Schizosaccharomyces pombe: one gene and its partner. The protein of the gene in region 2 interacts with the protein of the main gene of each other region in a pairwise test. Each region holds a gene or a part of one and is shown on either strand. Other genes may lie near its edges. The genes, in order: prp1 and dim1.

Region 1 (9,637 bases), on a different chromosome or scaffold from region 2:
CCAACCACTAAAATTTTTACCTAATTGCACATTATATTCAGGTGAAATCTCAAATATAAAAACGGGATGGGGGATACTCAACAACCAACAGTGCTGGATAGATTTGCGCCTCATGCATTAGATACCAGTGAGGCAGAAAGACTTTCACGGGAATATCACAAAAATGGACCGTATAATCATGTTGTGATTCGTCCTCTGATCAATGATACACTTCTTCGAAATGTTCGTAAGGAACTTATGGAAAACATACATTTTACAGAGAAAGTAACTGATATTTACCGTGTTTGGCAAACTGGTGATCTAGCAAACTTGGATGGATTAGACAAGAAAGAGCAAAACATGCTTAAGTATTTGCGTCAAGTTCGTGATGCTCTTTACTCTGAGGAATTTCGCTCTCACGTTCAAAAGATTACCGGCTGTGGCCCTTTATCGGCTAGCAAAAAAGATTTGTCTGTTAATGTTTACTCAAAAGGATGCCATTTGATGAATCATGACGATGTTATTGGTACCAGGTGCATTTCCTATATCTTATACTTGGTAGAACCTGACGAAGGTTGGAAACCCGAATATGGAGGTGCACTCCGGTTGTTTCCTACATTACAACCATCCTTTCCTGCTGCTGATTTTTGTCACTCCATTCCTCCTCAATGGAATCAACTCTCTTTCTTCCGAGTTAAGCCCGGACATTCATTCCATGATGTTGAAGAAGTTTATGTAGATAAACCTCGAATGGCTATTTCCGGCTGGTTTCATTACCCTCAGCCTGGCGAACCTGGTTATGACGCTAATTACTGCGACAATACCGTTTCTACTTTGCAGTCTTTAACAATGAAACAAATGGACTTAGAACTTCCCCGGTTTTCATACTACCCAGTTGTTAAGCCAGAACCTTTATCCAAACAGGATACTGATATTTTAAGCAATTATATTAATCCACTTTACCTGACACCTGATGGCATTGAAAAACTATCAAAACGCTTTTTTCAAGATTCTGTTATTGTTTTAGTAGAGTTTTTAAATCAGGAATTTGCAAACACTCTCCTTAAGCGAATCATCGATGCTGAAAGGCAGCCCACTCCTATGCATTCTTCCGAAGTGTCATTCCCTTGGAAAACTGCCATTCCTCCTCATAAGCACAGGTACCTATATTTAGATCATGAAGAGTTTGGCCCTGATATTATTTTGCCCATGGATTTGCAGCGCCTTCCTGCGTTTCAGCGTTGGATCCAACTTGTCAGTGGCTTACCCCTTCGTTCCTTTCATCAAGTTGGTCGACGATTCCGCCCTGGTTCCGATTTTACGCTTGCTACTACGAATGACACAGCTTTACTAGAAGCTACTCTTTGCTTATCTCCGGGGACAGGCATTGCGAATACTGACAATGGTGCATATGATATTTATATGATTGGCGATGAAGATCCTGATGTAGATGCTGCTGTGTATAGGGGTGATCAGCAAGATGACAGTATTTTGCTTTCTTTGCCAGCCGCTTGGAATGTTTTTTCTTTGGTTTATAGAGATGAAGGTGTCCTTCAATTTGTCAAATATGTGTCGCGTCAAGCCGAATCTAGTCGCTGGGATATATATTCACAATGGAATCCCGTTGCTGAGTAAAGGCAACATATACTTAAAAGGGGTTACTTAATTTTTTTTTCTCTAATTTTTTGTCTTATTTTTGAAAGTTTTTCCCTTGTGTTTTTTAAAACCCACTTTCGTGTTGATAGTGTGTATTACATAAAAAGTTTTGGTTTACACTTTTACTGCTTTCTTAACTGGTATTCTTGTTGATTTAAAGTAAGTGTTCAATCGAACCTGTTTAAAAATCGTTCTTTTTTATTAAAAAGTCCGTAAATTTACAAATATCTAAAGTAAATTCGAATACCAATTTAAACATTAATTTTAAGATAAATAATAGATCCAATATGTTACAGTCATCATTTTTGTCGTAATCATAACACATTTATGGCAAGATGTAATAGTTCCTGCGGAGTTTTCCGAGAATTTTTGATATCTTTAGTAATACTGGGCCAAAAATAACCATGATGAGGATCAGCGGTTTCAAAACTTGTAAGCACTTCTTTCTGTTGGTCTTCGTTCCCAGCCTCTAAGCTATACTTATAAAACCAACACCACACATCTCCGTTATCTTGGTCAGCCTTAACAGCTTTTAAAAACCAACTACGCGCCTTATCTGCTTTTTTTTCCAGCCACAGCATCCTGGCGATGGTGCAAAGTAAATGTGCATTGCCTTCACATTTCCTTAAAGCATCTGTAGCACGAGTTTTACGCTGTGCGCGAGGTTCAAGCCATATAGCCTCCGTCCACAGCAAACCCGAAGATGGGCATTCCTGCAAGGCCTTAGCAAGGGCTGCACGAACTTGTGAAATATTCCCCGCCCGGAGTTCCATTTTTATAAGTTCAAGCCATAAAAATTCATTCTTAGGATTTTTAACCTTAGCCCTATCAAACACAACTCTCGCGCGTATAACGGACTGCTTTTCTTCAAGTTTGGCTAGCAAAAGCCACAAAGGTATGGAATAAGGACAAACTTTTGTGCCAGCCAAGTATGCGTCTCGAGCAAGCTCAATCTGCTCTTTATCTTCAAAAATTTGACCCTTCATCATGTACAACTTATCATAATGGGGATAAATTTTCAGTGCATTTTCCAAAAGTTGTAACGCCCGATCTTTTTCGTCCAAAATTCGTTCAAGCGAAATGGATTTAGTCCATATTCGTTCAGTTCCCGATTCGATACGAGCACGGGCAAGTAGCTTTCTGGCACGTTCATTTTCATTGTTCACAAATTCAATTCTGACAGCAGCAAGCCATATCTCTTCGCTATTAGAATTATATTCAAAAGCTCTCCCAAGAATATTCCGAGCACCAGCAATATCATTAACGTTTTTTCGCTCTTTAGCATAAAGCAACCATAAAATTTCGGCTTTAGGACATGATTCTACAGCTTTTTCTAAAATAGAACAAACACTTTCTGTTGTACCATACAGCTTTTCAAGTTCAACAGCTCTCAGCCAAAGTTTCTCACTTTTTGGATAGACTCTTAAAGAAAAAGCAAAAACAGCACGCGCACAATCTATACATTTACGAGCTATAAAAGATTGAGCATCATCTAACCAGGTGTCGAATTGATCTTCTTCATCCAATCCAACACCGAGGCACGTATTAATTATAGCTTGTGCAGTAATCACTGCCCCTTCAGTTTCGCATTTTTCAGCCTCGGAAAGCCACTGATCGCGTTGTAACATACCACCAGTAGCCTGTAACTCACTTACACCACGAGCCATTATTTTTTCCACCCGTGATACATTACCTTGCTGTTCTTCCAAACGAGCAGCAGCAATCCAAACCTCATGGGAAGTACGGATGGTTTGTCTGGCTTTATTGAGCACCTTTTTAGCATTCTCATAAGTTTCAAGTCGAGCAAGAGCTAACCATAAATCAATGGACATGGGTATTAATTCAACGGCACGAGCTAATAGTATCCTTGCATTATCCACTTCTTCTTCTAAATTTACAGCTTCTTTCCATAAGCTTACAGAAGTCGGGTTAAATTCTAAAGCTTTTTTTATAATCCTTTTTTTGTGCTGAGCTTGATTTTCAAGTTTTTCGGCTTCAAGCCATAACGTCACTGACTTTGGTAATTTTTTAACGGCATTTGCAATAATAACTTTTGCTTCTGCAGCCGGGTGTAGTCGTATTGCTTCTAGCCAAACATCCTCAGAGCGAGAACAATTTTCGCAACCTTTTAAAATTAAAGATTGTGCTTGAGATAATTTATTCGCGACCTCTTCAAGCCGCGCAGCAGCTACCCAGCCAGAGGCGTGCTTTGGATTCGTTTCAATAACACTTTGCAACAATTTTCTAGCTTTTCTTATATCACCCAGGTCATTGGCATTTTTTGGAACCATACTATTCAGACTAGTTAAATACCCCTTCGGATCTATAGTCGATGGTGAAGTCAAATTCGACGAAGCTTGTGCTAACTTGATACCTAAAACTTTGTCACGAGCAGCTCCAATTTCAACAAAATTTGTTTTTGTCCCATTCATATCTGGAGTTTCTGTTCCTGCTTGAGTATCCACTGCAAAATTAGAGATAGCTTGATTTTCATTGCGAGCACTTGCAAGAACAAAATCACTTGTTGCATAAAATCTTTCACGTCTCGGCTGTTTAGTCCTTTTTTTACGAGTTAGATCGCCGGGTTCTGGGATATTATTCCAGTCTTCATCTGTCAAAGTGGATAACCCACGTTTTAAGTCCGCAAATTGTGAAGAAACCTTGGGGTTTTCTTTTTCATATTTTTCTTTCTGTAGCTGTTCTTGTTTTTCACGTTGGGATTTTCTTCTTTTACTTAAATGTTCCTCTACAGATTGATATATTTTATCAGCTTCTTCGTCCTCATGATCATATGGAGCAGTAGCAAACAGCGCTACTTCATTGTCAGGATCCTGATAACGAGGATCGATATCTTCTTCTTCCTCTATTTCTGATTTCCTTTGTTCAATTGCAGCCTTTATAGATTCTTGGGATGGCAATTCTTGAGCAGGCCCAAGATCTGAACGCGTTGTAAATCCTGTTGCACCACGTCCTAAACCTGCTACATAGTTAGGAGGTGGCTGCATATTCAGAAAATCTGGATAAAAGTTTGCCATTCTAATTATCTGCAATTAAATGCAATAAGCCGAGCCTTTCGGCTTTATAAATATCTGGTAGTGGCTTTCAAATTTTAAAAGTAGGCAATACGAAGAAGAGAAATTAACTCCTAGCAGCTTTACTACAACAAAGTTAAAAAGAGCCATTAGGTAAAAGTAAATTTAGAAAAACTTAAGATAGAATATTTCTTAAACAAAATAAATTTCCTACTGTATGTAATGATTTTACAATCAAACGATATATAAATAAGCATTGTGATTGACTTGTTATACACTGAACCGCTAACACACGAGTATTTATGATTTAGCATTTGATAGCCAAATAAATTTATTAGATTTTTTGCAACAATTTTGAAAAAATGCATGAACAGTGTTTTCTTCCTTTCTTTTATTTTCCTACTTTTCTTTGAAGATGAATTTACACTTTGTAAATCAATGTCGTGTAAAGTATGCAGAACGGTTGAAATTACGAAAAATATTGTTCATCACAAGCTTTGTGAGTATTGGAATTAAACAAATCTTAATTGAATCCGAGTGATAACTGGACAGACGTTGCAGCAATATTTTTGCATGGCCACTACGTTTGTCTTTTAATGTCTCGGTATATTATACTGGTGTTTCAAATCAATGCTCATCGTATCTAGTATGAGTGTACCTGGACACATCAGTCAAATTTATTTTCGCTTGTAAATTGTCTTATTCTTTATCATAATGCCAAACCATTGTATTTAGAATTTTATTTGCAAAGTAATTTACCAAAACATATTTAACATCTTAAATAGACATGCTTGAGCTACGTTGATTAAGTGTTTTGATTATAACTGCAGGTTGTGCAAGGCTAATGTAATATCTTTTAGAAGTATATTCGTTGGATTGATAAGTTCTAAGAAATTTATACTGACTCCAGCCATAAGATGCAAGCAAGTCAGTTTCACAAAAAAGAATAAAAGATTCAGATATGTTAGATTAGAATCATCTGCAAAACACTGATATCAAAATATGATAATAATCGGCAATATATATGGCTCGTTTCATTTTTAACTTAGCTTTTCCAGGTTAATTTTGGGTATTAAAATTGTTCTATTTTATTCCATTTATAAATATAGGCATGAATTATGTATGTAGTGTGTAAATAAATTTGGTTTAAAGAAAATACGGCAGCTAATCTAGCTGTATCTTTTTCTCTTTTTTTTTTTTTTTTTTTAATATTATAAATTTCAGGAGTACCTGTGTAAATGATAATGATATATTCAGAATGATATTTTAATAAATACAGCGTATATTAACCATCTGTTTACAACTTGAGTGAGTATAGTAGAATCTGATGTGTGGATTTTCACTTATCATAAAAAAAATTCAAGAAATATTAATTAACTATTGTTATTTTAAGACTGTGTAAATAAGCTGTTTCTACAAATCTCCTGCTTGATAACATTATATATGCCAATGTTATTTACGCTGTCCACTGTTGCGTTAATACATGGATACAGCAATGAGTATTCTATTCGAATATTCAATATAAAAATGCAAGCTTACAGGAAATGATACAAATGTTGTTTTAATAAGCAATATCTAATCAGCAGTATAGGTAGACTCGACAGCATACATCTGCACTCGGAAGTCTAAATATGGTAATAGTTCATGCACAGTATTCTTGGTTTTTAATTTATTTACACAATAAAAAGAATAACCCCAGGATGTTCAATTATTGGACCTCTGGAGTTCTACAAACAAGGAAAATTGAGTTATAATGATATTACTCGTTGCAGTACTGTAACGTACTGCAATTTAGTTTATAATTAAACGAATTAATAAGAGTTTGGTATGCAGGATTAGGAGTATTAATTAAGCCCTCTGTAAAACATGATGGTATTTTAGTTGTAGCGATACGTTAATCAACAAGATGCACGTATATTATTAACTAATGTTAATATTCTGCCTACCTCATGTCCATCCATCCATAAACACCTATAGCAACCCATGTCGTGTCCGCACCTCACAGAGACAAACGTTGTAATCCCAGATAATTCTCAGGTAATATATCGTGAAGAATGCGTCCGTTGCTTTAATTCGCAGGTATGTTTTTTAAATAGCTTGTTTTAAAACATGTACTCAGAGGAGTTCAAATTCGTTAACAAACGTTAGGATGAAGAAGGTGGAATTGATTTATGCTTAACCTGTTTTCAATCTGGATGTGGGGAAACTGGGTTAAAACACTCACTTGTCCATTTTGAACAAACTTTGCACCCAATTGTGGTCACCATTGCCAGGCAACCTAAGCAAAAAATTAATGATGAGCCTCCCCAAAAAATTACGAAACTTGAGATCAGAGAAGATAGTGATGAAGATTTATATGATTATTTTTATGTCCCTAAGTGTTTGGTCTGTAATATAATATTAGATATACAGGATCCCTTACTTTCGTTATCATTAGAGGCAATGAAAAATGCTACCAAGGCATCAAACAAAAGTCAATTAACTGCATGGGAAAATGAATTAACTACTTGTGATCATATAATAAATTTACCAGAAAATGAAACTTACGTCACAAATTTGGACAATGCTACATGTTCAAAATGTGATCTTGCAGAAAATCTATGGATGTGTTTAACATGTGGCGCATTAAGCTGTGGAAGAAAACAGTACGGAGGAGGTGGTGGGAATGGGCACGCCCTTTCTCATTATGATGATACAGGACATCCGCTTGCAGTTAAACTCAAAAGCATTTCACCTGATGGTCAGGCTGATATATATTGTTATAGTTGCGATGAGGAAAGAATTGACCCAAATATAAAGACACATATGCTAAATTTCGGCATCGATATCGCCAAGTTGAACAAAACTGAAAAATCTTTGGCTGAACTACAATTAGAGCAAAATTTAAATTGGGATTTTGGTGCCTCCGAAGAGGATGACGCTTCAAAAAGATTGTTTGGACCAGGATTAACTGGTCTTAAAAATCTTGGTAATAGCTGTTATCTGGCCTCAACTATGCAGTCGTTGTTTTCTATTAAGGAATTTGCTATTCACGAATTAAACCTTTTCAACACTTATAATTCTGTTTGTCAAACCCCCACTACAGATTTGCAATGTCAACTTGGTAAACTAGCTGATGGTTTAGTAAGTGGGAAATTTTCTAAACCTAGCAAAATTGGTTTACTCAATAATCCTTCTTCATCGATTCTTCCTTACCAAGATGGTTTGAGGCCTTTTATGTTCAAAGATGTTGTGGGACAAGGGCATTCTGAATTTGGAACTTCTCAACAGCAAGATGCTTATGAGTTTTTATTGTATTTGCTGGGGAAAATACGGAAATCTAGTATTGCGAAAACTGACATTACTAAGATTTTTGACTTTGAAACGGAGCAAAAATTATCTTGTCTTTCCTGTAAACGCGTTCGCTATTCTTCTTTCTCTTCTCAGGGATTGACTTTGACAGTTCCGCGTGTTAAAATTGGTGAAATTGAGGGTGAGCAAATTTATGAAGAAGTCTCAATAGACCAATGTTTAGATGCAACTATACAACCAGACCAAATGGAGTATACTTGTGAAGCTTGTAAAAGTAAACTAGGAGCTACAACTACTACTGCCATGAAGTCGTTCCCGAAAGTCTTGATCCTACAAGCCAACCGGTTTGATTTACAGGGATATCAAGTTAAGAAATTAAGCATCCCTATAATAGTTAATGAAGACGGAATTTATAATTTCGATCGCTTAATGGCTAAGGACCACCCAAATGACGAAGATTATCTTCCTGAAAAGACAGAGACCATTGAATGGAACCAAAGTGCTATTGAACAGCTTCAAGCTATGGGATTTCCTTTAGTCAGATGCCAACGAGCATTACTCGCTACTGGAAATTCTGATACTGAAACTGCCATGAACTGGCTATTTGAACATATGGAGGACCCTGAAATTGACAAACCTATTGAAGTTTCTGAATTACTGCCCAAAGCAGACTCAAGTGTTTCAGAAGAAAATGTTCAATCATTATGTGAATTCGGCTTTACTGTTGCACAAGCACGAAAAGGATTGCTTGAATCTAACAATAATATTGAGCGCGCAGTTGATTGGATTTTAAATCATCCGGATGAAAGTTTTGAAGAACCACCACTTGAAGGATCAGATTCTTCAATAAAAAATGAAAATATGGGTAGTTGGGAATCGACAAACGTTCCAGTCAACTACAATTTAAAGGCCATAATAAGCCATAAGGGCTCAAGTGCGCATGCCGGTCATTATGTAGCATTTATACGCAAAGAGATAGATGGAAAGCAGCAATGGGTTTTGTTTAATGATGAAAAGGTGCTTCAAGTTGCCTCCTTGGAAGAAGCAAAAACTACCGGATATGTCTATCTTTTTGAAAGGCTAGATTGACATTAATTTATATCATTTTTTTTTTTTTAATAGCAATCATCGGAGCGTCTTATTGAATTTTGGGTTGAGCAGAATTTGGTAGCATACAACAACTAAATTTTTTTAACATTACATTATCAAAGAGACCCGGATTTAAGTCTTTCTTTACAAAATAGACCAACCATTCAGTTTGGCTTTAAAAACTCCTTTGACGCAAAAGTCGTTTTACAGTCATCACTCCCCGAATATTTGAAATAAATAAAAAATATCCTTAATAGCATTTTGAGTTACCTTCTGTGAACGAATTTCGTATTTTAAATTTTGAAAGAGTAGTTTTGATTGTAAGTATCCACGCACCATTCCAATTAAATGCTATATCGTCTCCACGGTCAAGAGTTTCAAAATATGTAAATTTGACCCTAAATACATAAGAGAGCTGACATTCATTTTATTTGAAAATATATCTGAAACCCAATTGTAAGCTACGCAGTTTGGTATCTGATTTAAGGATACGTAGAACTGCGGTGAGTTTTCCTTGTGATCTATTATATTACAATACACAGGTTGTATAAGTAGCAACTGAGTATAGGTATTGTATTAACTGGGTTATA
Region 2 (12,595 bases):
GGTCGTTTTGTCTTTCCCATCATTTCGTTCTTTCAATTTAATGTTACTTCAGGCCTTTCCTCTTTGTATGGATTGAACGCATGGCACTATTACCTTTCTCAAGCCCTCCCATTAATATGCGGAGGATTTCTTCCATTCGTATTACTCACAATGGACCTTCAAACAGCGGGAACCATTCTTTGTGTTTTCTTTCCCTATTCACTGATAGGACATAAAGAACTTCGGTTTGTATACCCAATTTCACCGATTTTACTTACTTTAGCTGGAAAATTTTTTTCATCATTTTCCTCTTGGAAGCGTGCAGCACGGTTTTTCTTCCTTATTGGATTGGGACATGCTCTGGTAATTACATTTTTATGCCGATTTCATCAATTTGGAGTCATGGAAGTTATGCCATTAATACATTCACTTGCTGAAAAAAACCAAACTGGTCTAATACTTGCTCCGTGTCACACTACACCATGGCAGTCGCATATCCATTCACCTTTTGCTGAAAATGGATGGAAGTTCTTGACATGTGAACCGTTCGAAAAGCCCTTTGATGAGACGGATCGTTTTTACGAGAATATGCCTACTTTTCTAGATAAAATTAAAGAATGGCCGGATTATCTGATTTTCTTTGAAGAGCGGTTTTATAGCTTATACAGCTATCTTGACTCCCGAGGGTTGAAGTATGAAGAAGTACAGAGGTATTATAACTCCTTGATTCCTGAAAGTCGAGAGAGAGCTGGAGCTCTGTTAGTGTATAAGAAACTCTAATTACATGATTCTTCATACCCCAAAAATTTCACAGGTCAGCATAATTATCTGCATTTTAACAACTATTGATGTATTTTAAATGAAACCACTGATGACTATTACTTGCTTTGGACAATATTTGGTTTATCCCTAAAACGCCAGCTTGATTTCTAGCTCCCCATTATAAACGATTTGCATTTCTATTATGGTTCGTGGATTATAGAGGGGGCCATATCAAGTCTTCACAGAGCAAGAGGAAGCAACAATTTGTAGACGAATAAAGTAATCCTAAGCCATTTACTATTAAAACTTAAGACATGGGTGGAACACTTATCTTCCCCGAAGCCATTATCATGAATCAACATCATTTTAAAATTTTCAACCTTTGGCGACTTTAACCTTTCAGAAATTTTCTTAAATACAAATTTATAGCATATCCTGCACTCTCCAAACAAATCTGAAAAAGAAAAGTTAGCTTACAACGCGAACACCCAAGTCACTTAAAGAATTTGCAATTGTAATTTTATGCTATGGAGTCGAGAAAAACGCAAAGGTCATTCGTCTATGTTGCGATTGGGACTTGAAAAAATAATTTTATACGGCCTAGCTACGATTCTAAATTAAATTTTTTATAATAGTATTTCACAAAATATTTGGAATATTACGGATACTTTAATTTTTAAACACAGTAAACTGCTTAAACGGTCGGTTTCTAGAATTGTAAAAAATTCTGAATTTCATTGTTTTATTAGATGAAGTATGAATATATATAATTGTAGTAAACACATCAACGATTCAACTAAGCATGTAATGTACGAAAGTAATAGCAATCCCACTTGTGTCAAGAATCTCATAACTTCACTAAATTTATTTACTGAATAGCATTTACACTATTATACGCTTTTTTACGTAGAGTTAAAGCATTGCTACATCCTAACGCGCAAAGTGTATATTGTGTGACTTACATATCTACACTATTCTCGTCTGCTAGAAATTACCAAAATATTGCAATTCAGCAGCTTCAGTTGATATAATGAGTTATTTTTTACCTCATTTACATTCTGGATGGTAAGTTTTTGTGATAGATGGATTTATTCTTCTCTAACTTATGTTTATAGGCACGTTGATCAAGCAATTTTATCAGGTACGCGAACTTTAAGAAACGTAGAATGTTTCTCGTTTCACAACTTCGAATCAGCTTATTAACCTTTTTTTTTATAAATAGAACAAGAGCGCTTGGTTGTCATTCGATTTGGTAGAGATCATGTATGTTCTAATGTCGATATCTACTTGGATTAAGTCTATTTAATATTGTAGGCGGATTAATTTACTAACGCGTAACGGAATAGGATGAAGAATGTATAAAACAAGATGAAGTCCTATACAGAATTGCTGAAAAGGTCGTCAACATGGCTGTCATATATTTAGTGGACATTGACGAAGTTCCTGACTTCAACAAGGTAAGTCTAAGTCTTAGTTGGAAAGTCATGTTGCTAACCTTATTACCATCTAGATGTACGAGCTTTATGACAGAACTACAATAATGTTTTTTTATCGAAACAAACACATGATGATTGACTTAGGTACTGGTAACAATAACAAAATCAACTGGCCGTTAGAAGATAAACAAGAGATGATCGATATTATAGAAACTATTTTTCGTGGTGCTAGAAAAGGTAAAGGTCTTGTTATTTCTCCAAAAGATTACTCTACCCGACATCGCTACTAGAAGCCACCATTTGCTTATGCAAGAAAATGGAGAGGGGATAGAAAAATCATAGTAATTTGATAGTTTTTGGCTAAAATGAAAAAGTCTTTTTGCTTTAATTTTTACGCATAATTTGTACTTCAAATGGTATAACCCTTCTTTTAAAGTCAGTAACAATACAGGATTTGAAATTATCTAGTGGATGAATTGTAATAAAGTATTATCAAATCCTATGAAGAAATTACATTATATGATTAAAGAAAAGCATGAACATGATTACTCTTGCTATGATTTAACAAGAGAGGTAAAAAAGTGACACTCAAGTTGCCTTATTAGTTGATCTAGCGTGTTTCTTTAAAGCCAGCAAAATCTCGTCAAGAAGGGTGTATATAACATGAGCGTTTAGAGATTGGTTTTGGAGAATACGAAATATTCTTTTCACAGCAATATCAGGTGTATAGCCGGGAAACATGGAAGCAAGCAAAATCCCTGCTTCTGCTTTCAATTGATTCCTATCAGCATAAGCTGGCTTTCGCGCCCGTGAATGACGGCGGTCTTTGGAGTGATCATGATTAGATTTACCTTCAAGTCCTCGTCTAAACTCGCGTAACTTCCTATAAATCTTCTCAGGCGTAAACAACTGAAACAGTTGTAGTCGTATACGCTTTTCCAAAGCTCCGCCAAAAAGTTGTTCCAATATCGATATATAAGTTTTTTTCGGTAACCATTGCTGCTTTGCATCGTCATTTGGAGAAAACAATTCGACTAAAAATTCCGAGATGGGACCTGAGAATGACGAGTTAGTGTTAACGTTGGATGCGTTGAAAGAATTATTAACTTCAAACCCTAAGACTTCTAAAAGCTGCTTCCATTTTTTGCCAACTTCTTTAGGATTAAACATTTGTGGTGCTGTGATATTTTGTTGTGACAAAAACATCCTCAACATTTTGCTGTCACAAACCTCTGGCATTCTGAATAATGATTGAAGATATTCTTCTAAAGCACCCCTTCGATATTCCAAAACATTTTTGTTTAAAGAGGTGATGATCGATTTTTGAGGAAATTTTAAAGATCTGACTCCAGGGTATGTTTGCTTTAGCTGCTTATGCAACTCTGCAAACTCTCGATACCGTCTAGCCACCATCCATCCGGAACGGACATGTCCATTTTCAAGTCGTTCAATGCGTATGGTGTAAACAGCAAAGTCTGGGGTGTTCTCCTCTTTGCTAATTTTAAATGAATCAATAGACACCCGAGAGCGATTAAAGAGTTTACTGTCTTCTTCTTGCGACATATACTGATCTCGTTGACGTTCTTTGCGGTGAATTGCTTTTTCAATCTCTTGATGGTTTTTAGTAAGGCTTTTCAATTGCTTTTGGTCAGCAACCAGCTCAGCCTTCTTTATAAGAGTGTTGATAGCGTTTAATTGAGCTTTCAACTCCTCGATGTTATTGTTTAATTCATCGATACTTTCAGAAAGTTGGAGATCACCTGGTGGAGCAAATAAAACTTCTTCTTCATCACTATAGGTAGGATCATCCAATTCTAAATCCAAAGGAGAGAGGTTTTTATCCCGAGAAATGGACGAAGAGACAGATAACTGAATAGAGGGAGAAGGAGATGAATTGATGGATTTTGACGACGAAGAAATACTAAGATATGAAGGTTGTTTTGATATCGCTGGTATGTTCTCGCCCAACTCTTCTAATCTACTGAACGTGGCAGAAGAATTGGTAGACTTATGATCAGATACTACATCTTGGGCTAGGAACCTGTAATAGATCTCGCTGTTAACGAATTCAGAATAATCACTGTTCTGCATGATATCGAACACATGCTCTTGAGCCATAAGCATTGCATTCCTAGCCTCTACCCATAGATCAGGGTTTAAGTTATCTTTACTTTGGTTAACGAATTTATTAATTGTATTAGTGAGAGGCTTTGGGATGTCCAGTGGGTTATCGACGCTTTCAAAGTATGATTTGACAATGGCTGTAAAGTCTGTATGGTCAGAAACGATATCGGAAAACGGCGCAATCATATGCGCATTCAATGGATCATCCTGTGATTCTTTTAGGCCTTCAACTACAAGCCAAAAATGCAAATAGCGAGATCTGTTCTTTCTCTCCATAAATTCGAGAAAACAGGAAACCGCCGCCGAGTCAGATAGGATTTGAAGTAGTGATTGCACTTGTTCAAATAGCACCGCTTCTTTATGCTGAAATGGAGTTCCAGAAAGTAAGGAAATCCTTTTCTCAGCAGTAATTATAGCTATCTGTAATCGCTCCCTATATTGTTTAAATTCAAAATCAAATGCTTCGGTCTGTTCAAGTTGACGCCTTTGGACCATTAGTTCAGAACGTAATCTTCGGGCATCTGAAATATTAGAGATTTTTTTAATTTCATGAATATATTGTTCAAAAGAGTGTTGACTATCTTTTAATCGGAGACGACGTGCTCCAACCTGAAAGTGATTAGATTGCTTGCGAATGGCACGTTTCAGACGACGAATCTTTCGCCGACGCTGAATTATACTACCGCTAGCCTGAATAATTAAATAGTTGAAAAAATCAGGATCTGAAATATAAGATACTAGCGGTAATAATGTAGTATTAATAATAACCTCTGTAACGAGCGAAAGTACAAGAGGGCTGGTTTCATAATAATTCGGTAGAATAATAGACAAAACTTGTGTCGTCCAATTTCGTAAATATCTCTTCTGAGCTACCATGGGATTTCCAGAAAGAAGTACTGCTTCATGCAATCTCCCATGATCATATTTCGCCGCAACTTCACGAGACAGTTCAGAATGGTCAGTAAAGGATACTGCCTTATTACCTACAACAAGCTGTTCTGCTTCAACGAATAATCTTAAATGTTTTGTAATCAGTGGTAGAACTGTTTTAACCAAAACATCAGCAAGATCAATTTCATCAACTCGACTTAATAACACCATAAGACATTTTCGCAAATGGGATTCTATACTGTTTGAAATTGTCGGTTCGGGAATAATTTGATAAGACCATACCTTAATATATTTTTGCATAAAATGTGAAATAATGGATTCTATCTCTTCAGAAATTTCAGGTATTCCTGGATATAATGGCTGACGAAGAAGAAGTTTGGAAAGTGCCAATTGACGCGCTCGTTTTTGGAATATAGCTGGGTTAACAAGAAATGGCTCAGATGTTCCAAGATTATTTTTATTTTCAAACGTTCTCGTCTCCAAACAGTACCACAACAAACAACCAGAAGCCCATAAATAGATAATTTTGACAAAGAAACTATGAGCAAGTATCCATAAGATGAAGATACCTCCAGTGATAAAGTAAAAGATATGCTGCTGGTACATTTGGTCCTATAATGGTAAGAGCCAAGTCCTTCTATCTATGGATTTTCTAGTTGGAAAAATGACATTTCAGAATTTTGAGGCAGTCGTTCTTTTTTGCAAACAAAGTGCACGATAATTTAAATTTTTTTATATAATTATTCTTCCTTGTTAGAAAAATGTAAATTAAGTATCTTCTACTACCGGAAAATGGTAAGCAAAGATCAGTGCACAAAAAATCCTAAACGTGAGATTTTGTAATCAGAATGACGAAAAAAAGAGAGACTTATTGAAAATTGAGCAATTATTCAAGATACTCCCAAATAAACAGCCAAGTTGACTAATTAGTCGAAATAGCCACTTTTCACCTCAAAACTTTGGTTTATATTTTATCGTACAATAACTGAAATCAATCGTCCAAAGATGTAATTTATAGCAAGGAATTAAATACTTTACTTCCTTAAATATTCAATCTTTATGAAAGCTTGACAATGGAGCTGTTGTAGTCAGAATTTATCAAAACAAGTGTTTAGAATTGGTTAGCAAAGTTAGGAAAGTACTTGACCAACACCAAAATGTCAATAGCTCAATTGTTTAACCAGAGTTGGGTAGAAAAATCAAAATATGTCCCTGTAAGATTAAGTGATGAGGAACGAAAAATTTTGAGCTTGTTAGAAGCAGCGTAAGTAAATCCATCTTATGGAAATGCCTGTTGGCCGAGTCCCGTTTGAAATGTGGAATGTTCAAGGGTTCCTTATTTTAAAATATTACCAATAAAGAAATATTTTTCTAATAGTTATTTCCAAAGTGTTTGATTGTGCGCGATTATGTGAAACTTTTACAAGAACTGTTCGCATAAATTATTTCTCTTGTATATGAACTGTTACATTATTTAATTATTATTGAACACTTTCCCGTTTCTCGGGACATAAAATTATACGATCGTATCTGTTTTTGGTGGATCGACCAAAACTAACAATGAAATTATAGACTTGAAGTAATTGATTATACGGGCCATGTCGACATTATCTCTTATACCACCAGGACCAAACTGATGGTAAAATACTTGAACGAAATGTGCAGTATAGTGATGGGACTTGTCACTGCAATGGATATTAAAGCAGGACGTGATTTACTAATTGGAAGAGACCACAAATCAAATGCTAGGTTTTTTCAAACCGTTTTTGAAATTGGAAGGAGATACAAAATTATGAATCCCGAGAAAATGCGTGCAACATATGGTGCTGTTATGTATATGTGCCAAGACAGTTTAATTCCAGATGTTCGTAGTCAACTTGGCTTTGATTTCGTATCACCCATAAAAACTGTATACAATGTTTTGGAAAAGCACAAACTTTTGGGTCTGCTTGAAGAGAAACAGCTTTTAAACAATCTTTTAAAACAGAGCGATCCTCAAAGTAATGCCAATGCCAAAGCAGAACTGTTAAAAGAACGGGAAGAAGCTTCAGAAACTCTTTTGAAAAAGTATAATCCAGGAAAAGATGAAAAATTACAGAAAGTGCTTACGGACTGCTTCGCTTCTTTAGCTGATCATGAAGCTTTCCTTTTAGCTAATCGAAATCCTGTGGAAAAGATGCGTGCCTATTTACATAAATTTTTTAATCCACACGACACTAAAAATGGTAGTTTAAAGATTGGATATATGACTGGTGCCAAATTAAATCACGACCATAAAACTCAATTTTTCTATGTTGATCAGAGTTTAGTGTTTTGGTCCTGTATGATGGACCAAATGTTTCTTTTATGGTTAGAGAGCGACGCTTCTTTACTCGATAAACATTCTAGGTACTTCATTAGTGACACTGGCCAAGGTTTAAATCGTGTTCAGCTTTGTCCATTAGTTCGATCTACAGTTACCAGGATTCTATCATCCGTTCAGAAGCAACAAGAAATCCCTTGGATGGGAAGCTCTGTAATACACTTAGGTGATAGGGATGTTCCTAATGCCCTGATGTTTATTGACAAATATCGCCAAGTACCTCACATATTAGCGCCATTGGTCAAAGTTTTACAGCAACTAGAATTTTTACGTGATCCATACTTGGTTCAGTATATCGAAAACGAATATGGAAGCGTCAATGGACTTCAAAAAACAATTTTGTTAGACTTTTTTCGTCATGGTTTTAATGGTCAGGGATCTGATGGTGGAAGTTGTATTGATGGTCGGCTCACTAGTGCATGGAATTGGACCAACGAAATTACTAAGAAGAAGTATTATAGGATTCTTTTAATGTCCGGCTTTCTCAACTTTGAAGGAATCTGACGTTATTACATCTTTTTTTGCAAATCGGCTTTTCTCCATCACTCGTAATTCATTTTTCCACAAAAAAAAAATACATATGAGGATAAATATCATTCTTTCAGTTACCCACTAAACAAATTATTATTCAAAGGATTCTAACATTTTATTAAGTGATCCAGTAAATTATACACAACCAAATATCCATTATTTTAACCAAGTAAAAAAAACCCAAATTTAACAGGTCATTTTTAAATTAAGAGTCTTCATTCCAGAATTGGGAATTAGGAAGAGATTTTTTTAAATAACATAATCCACTATATAGGAATCCTCAATGAGATCGTTGACTCTTGCAAGATGACGATCAGTATACGGTATCATAGAATCTAAAATATCTTTAATACCAGATAATTTGAGAAGGTGTTCAGGGGAGTATGAATGTAATAAAAGACGTAGCAATCTTTGAGCAACCATGCTTGTTTTACTATTAGTATTCCAATCACGAATGCGCTGAAACAAGATTATTAATTGATGATCCGGAAGCTGAACCAAAACATTATCCACATCTTTATTCCCAGTAATGCTATTTGGTTGATGTGGAGCTGTCATAACTCGTTCAAACAGTCGCAAAAGTCCATGAGGACGGTCTAATGACAAAGCTAAAGCAATAGCCTGTTGCCAGTCTTCTGTTTGCTCAAAATTTGATAAGAGCTGTTCAGCCTCAACACGACGCTCTAATTCCTCAGCTTGTTTGGCAATGTATTCTTCAGTTACATCTTTCCAAACGCTAACTACTGCATCTGCACCTCCAGAAACCAACAAACTCCCGTCGAACCTTGAAGCTAAAGCCCACACACGGTCTTCATGATTGTCGAGCGTAGCAACACATTCACCAGAGCTCAACGACCACACTTTGACCAAACCGTCGGCAGCAGCACTTACGACTTGGGTTCCTTGAGAAATGTAGATCAGTTTCAGTATTGCACCTGTATGACCTTCTAAAGTTTGCACACACTGTTGAGTATCGACATTCCAAATACGAATTGTACGATCACCACTACCACTAGCGAGTTGACGACTAAATGGGTTAAATGAACAGGCCCACACACCCCGACGATGTCCGCGCAGAACACCAACCACTTCACCCGTAGATGAATCCCAAAGCTTAATAGTCTTATCTTGACTAGCCGAAGCAATAATTCGTCCATCCTTTGAAACTTGAATAGCATTAACATCACGATCATGAGCTTTAATAGTCCACACAGCTCTGTTTGAAAAATCGGACTTATTTAGCTGAGAACCTAAATTAAACCGTTTAAGTGTTCTATCTTGAGAGGAAGATGCCAGGAAAGTGGGATAACCATTAACATCCAAAGGTCCCAGAGCGACAGCCGTGACACTAGCCGTATGACCAGTGAATACATGAATACATTTATAAACATTATCTTCAATGTTTAAATTCCAAAGACGCACAGTATTATCTTTAGCACCAGTTGCCAACCAAACACCATCTTCAGATGAATCCAAAGTAAGGACTATATCAGTATGACCCTCAAGCACCCCAAAGACTTGTGTACCGTCTGTGGAAATAACATCTATAAACTCGGTATTACTGCAAACAGCCAAATGATCGTCTCCAATCCAAGCACAATCGATGACTTCATCAAAAGATCCGTTGAGTTTTTTAATGGTAATAAAGCCTTCGCCAGGAACTCTCTTACGCAACAAGAGACTTAAATCGGAATGTACAGACAAAAGTGTGTTTTCAGAAAATGGTACGACTTGTATAATTGCATTCGTTTCTGAATGAGTAGTATCAACACCTGGATCAAGTCGGGAACCAGATTTCCAATCCCATGCTAAAATAAGATTACCTTCACCAGCTGTATACAAAATTTTTTCTTCAGGCTGTCCATTGACCCAACCTATGGCCTCGACGCTATGGAAAACAGGAATCGTTCTGACTGCAGAACGCTTCTTAATATTCCAAACCTGAACCGTTTTATCTCTAGATCCACTGAGAAGAAATGAACCAGTTGGTTCAAATGTCAATCCACGAATAACACTGCTATGACCTTCGAAAACAGCCATGGATCGACTAGAGTTTAAATCCCACAATCTGACTCGAGAATCATCGGCACCAGAAGCCAAAACCCAAGTATTTTGATGCTTGCCAAAGCATAATGCACTAATGACACCGCCATGACCCCGAAAACTATGAGTTACATATGCTCCAGCAATGTCCCATACTTTTACTAATCCCTCAGCACCTCCCGTAGCTAACAATGTATTAGTGGGATCTATTGTCATCGTAATTACCGGAGTTTCATGAGCTTTCATCGATTTTATACGCCGTCCGGAAGGAATCTCATAAATAGTAAGTAGTCTCGACCGAAAAGCCGCAATAAGTTTTTTTGAATCGCTAGTTATCGCCAAGGCTGTAACGTAATCGTCCTCATCCTTTTTTATAGAAAAAAGACGCTCTCCAGTCTCACTACGGGTTCCAATTATACGATCAGTTAAAGCAGTAACAAGAATCTTCTCATTAGAGTCGAATGCAACAGGACCTCCCGTGTAAATAGGCTCAATGCTTTTTTCTAACTCAAAGCTAATTATTAGTTCATGTGTTTCAATCTTTTACATACCGCTTTTTCTCCCCAATTGGCGCCATGAATGATTTTGGTTAAGAGCATCATTTTTTACAGTCAAAAAGTAAATAATTGTTCCAACTACAAATTTACCGTTCTTTGCTATATATTTTTACCGTACTTTTATATTTCTCACTATACTCCTTCTCCTCGCAAGCTAGTAAACGGAATAACATAATAGAAAACAAGAATGCTAAAACTGCTACACCAATTTTTACTTACGTTGGTAAAAGAGTAGGTAAGTTAAAGAAAAAACCCCCGGAGATTCATTGCGAATTATTTTGTAAACTATTTAGTTCTAATAAGGAAGAAGGACTATAAACTGATTAACGTAACTTCCAATTGGGGACTAAATCTTGGAGAAACCAACAAAGAAAAGAAGCAAAAAAAATATGTGAAAAACAGATACTTGCCTTCCTAAAAGGAAAACATTGAAAGAAACGAAATAGGCTTTTTTCGTTTTAATGGAAAGAAGTAAATTTTTTTAAGGACGGAACACTTTTTTCGTAGCTTTATTGAGGATGGTCCCAAAGGGATGTGTGATGGACACAACCAAAGCAGAATTCTTCAAATCCGATTAACTTAATTATAAATTTTTAGATAACGTTAAACAAATGAAATATACATTAGCGGAAATTATAATATATGGCGGGTAAATGTTCGTATATGTACATAAAACTCGAAAATATATATACTTCGGGTTTCCCATTGTTAGGTTCATCAAGCCAGGTGGACCGGTAACTATGCCAAAACAGGTCTCGTAGTCGTTGTCGTTTGTGATACGTCCATGTTGTAAACGACTGGTCGCTCAGGTCTGGTTTCAGGAATATTTGACACACCGGGTTCAGTGGCACTGGCATACGGATACTGAGCAGTGGTATCAGGGACCAAGTCTGGAGTAGCATAGCGTTCCTCCCCATCCGGTAATACAGCAGCAGGAGGCTCCATGGGAGCCACATAGGATTCGGGAACCGATGTAGCATACGCACCCTTTTCGAGATCGGGGGCACTGGCTAATGAATCGTAAAATAAAGCGGGTGCAAGGTCAAGACATAATAAGCAAATGTAAATGGACCATAAAAAACACACAACCCATTCAAAGCGTGCTGAACGACCACGGTAATTGTGATGAAGACCACCGAATGCAATGGCGCAAATGATACCTACGACAATAATGACAAACTTGAATATAAATGAAACCCTTAAAAGGCTGCTCTGTGGATAGTAGCGAGTGGCTGATAGCCATTCAAAAATGTTGCTAGCGGCGGAAACAAATGCCAAGACAACAAACGCTGCTGTAAATTTCCAATGAACATTATCGTGGTGCACATCATCACGAATGGATAGGGAAATCAGACATGAGGCAGCAGCAGCACCTGTTAGTGCCGCAAACCATCCTAAATACGTTTCAACTTTTCTACCCGTTGGGTATATCCAGCCCCATTGTCGAGCAAGACGAATCATTATAAACGTCAAAAAGTAAAACACACCCGTGATAACACACATGGGTATGAAAAATCCCTTGGTGTAAGCACCCATATCACTAAGATATACGGGATCAGGTTCACTGGGAGTATGCCATTTATCCTGGGTGCTCCACAGACCCAACAAGACAATCAGTCCAATTGTCCACATTAAAAAGCTGACGAGCGGGAAAAGTATGAAGAAGAACCCCCAGAATCTGGGTCTTCTGGAAGTGGTAGTAGAAGTAGTATAATCGTTATCCATCTTAGGGTCCAAAAGATCTGGTTTTTAACGCAAAGATAAAGTATCAAATAATAAAAATAATAAATAGGAAATCTTTAGAAATCAATGATATTCAGTCAATGAATATATTTTAAAAAATATAAAAAAAAAAGTAAAATAAAGAAATTATTTAATCAATATGGTGATTTGATATAAAAGAAAAGAAA

The links.
Region 1: the proteins of dim1 (region 2) and prp1 interact in a two-hybrid assay, tested with the Schizosaccharomyces pombe proteins (2 studies listed by BioGRID).

What each region holds. Positions count from the first base shown.
Region 1 is NC_003423.3:2,637,023-2,646,659, reverse strand, and holds prp1 (U4/U6 x U5 tri-snRNP complex subunit Prp1), read right to left. Parts: upstream 4,740-9,637; 5' UTR 4,671-4,739; coding exon 1,950-4,670; 3' UTR 1,763-1,949; downstream 1-1,762. Other genes in the region: ofd1 (2-oxoglutarate and Fe(2+) dioxygenase domain-containing protein 1), read left to right, coding at 67-1,614; ubiquitin hydrolase Ubp14, read left to right, coding at 6,651-6,746, 6,816-9,047. UniProt on the Schizosaccharomyces pombe protein: Involved in pre-mRNA splicing. Interacts with prp6 and prp13. May also be involved in the regulation of the G0-G1/G2 transition. Required for pre-spliceosome formation, which is the first step of pre-mRNA splicing. This protein is associated with snRNP U5.
Region 2 is NC_003421.2:867,811-880,405, reverse strand, and holds dim1 (U4/U6 x U5 tri-snRNP complex subunit Dim1), read left to right. Parts: upstream 1-1,734; 5' UTR 1,735-1,771; coding exon 1,772-1,806; intron 1,807-1,817; exon of another isoform or gene 1,818-1,856; coding exon 1,857-1,882; exon of another isoform or gene 1,883-1,963; coding exon 1,964-2,004; exon of another isoform or gene 2,005-2,087; coding exon 2,088-2,198; exon of another isoform or gene 2,199-2,251; coding exon 2,252-2,467; 3' UTR 2,468-2,602; downstream 2,603-12,595. Other genes in the region: gpi10 (pig-B family GPI synthesis protein), read left to right, coding at 1-759; sorting nexin Snx12, read right to left, coding at 2,766-5,798; SPOM_SPCC16A11.03C (uncharacterized protein), read left to right, coding at 6,350-6,456, 6,765-8,058; U3 snoRNP-associated protein Utp13, read right to left, coding at 8,335-10,642, 10,680-10,705; inositol lipid-mediated signaling protein Sfk1, read right to left, coding at 11,424-12,410. UniProt on the Schizosaccharomyces pombe protein: Plays a fundamental role as a protein essential for entry into mitosis (G2/M progression) as well as for chromosome segregation during mitosis. May play a role in mitotic spindle formation and/or function.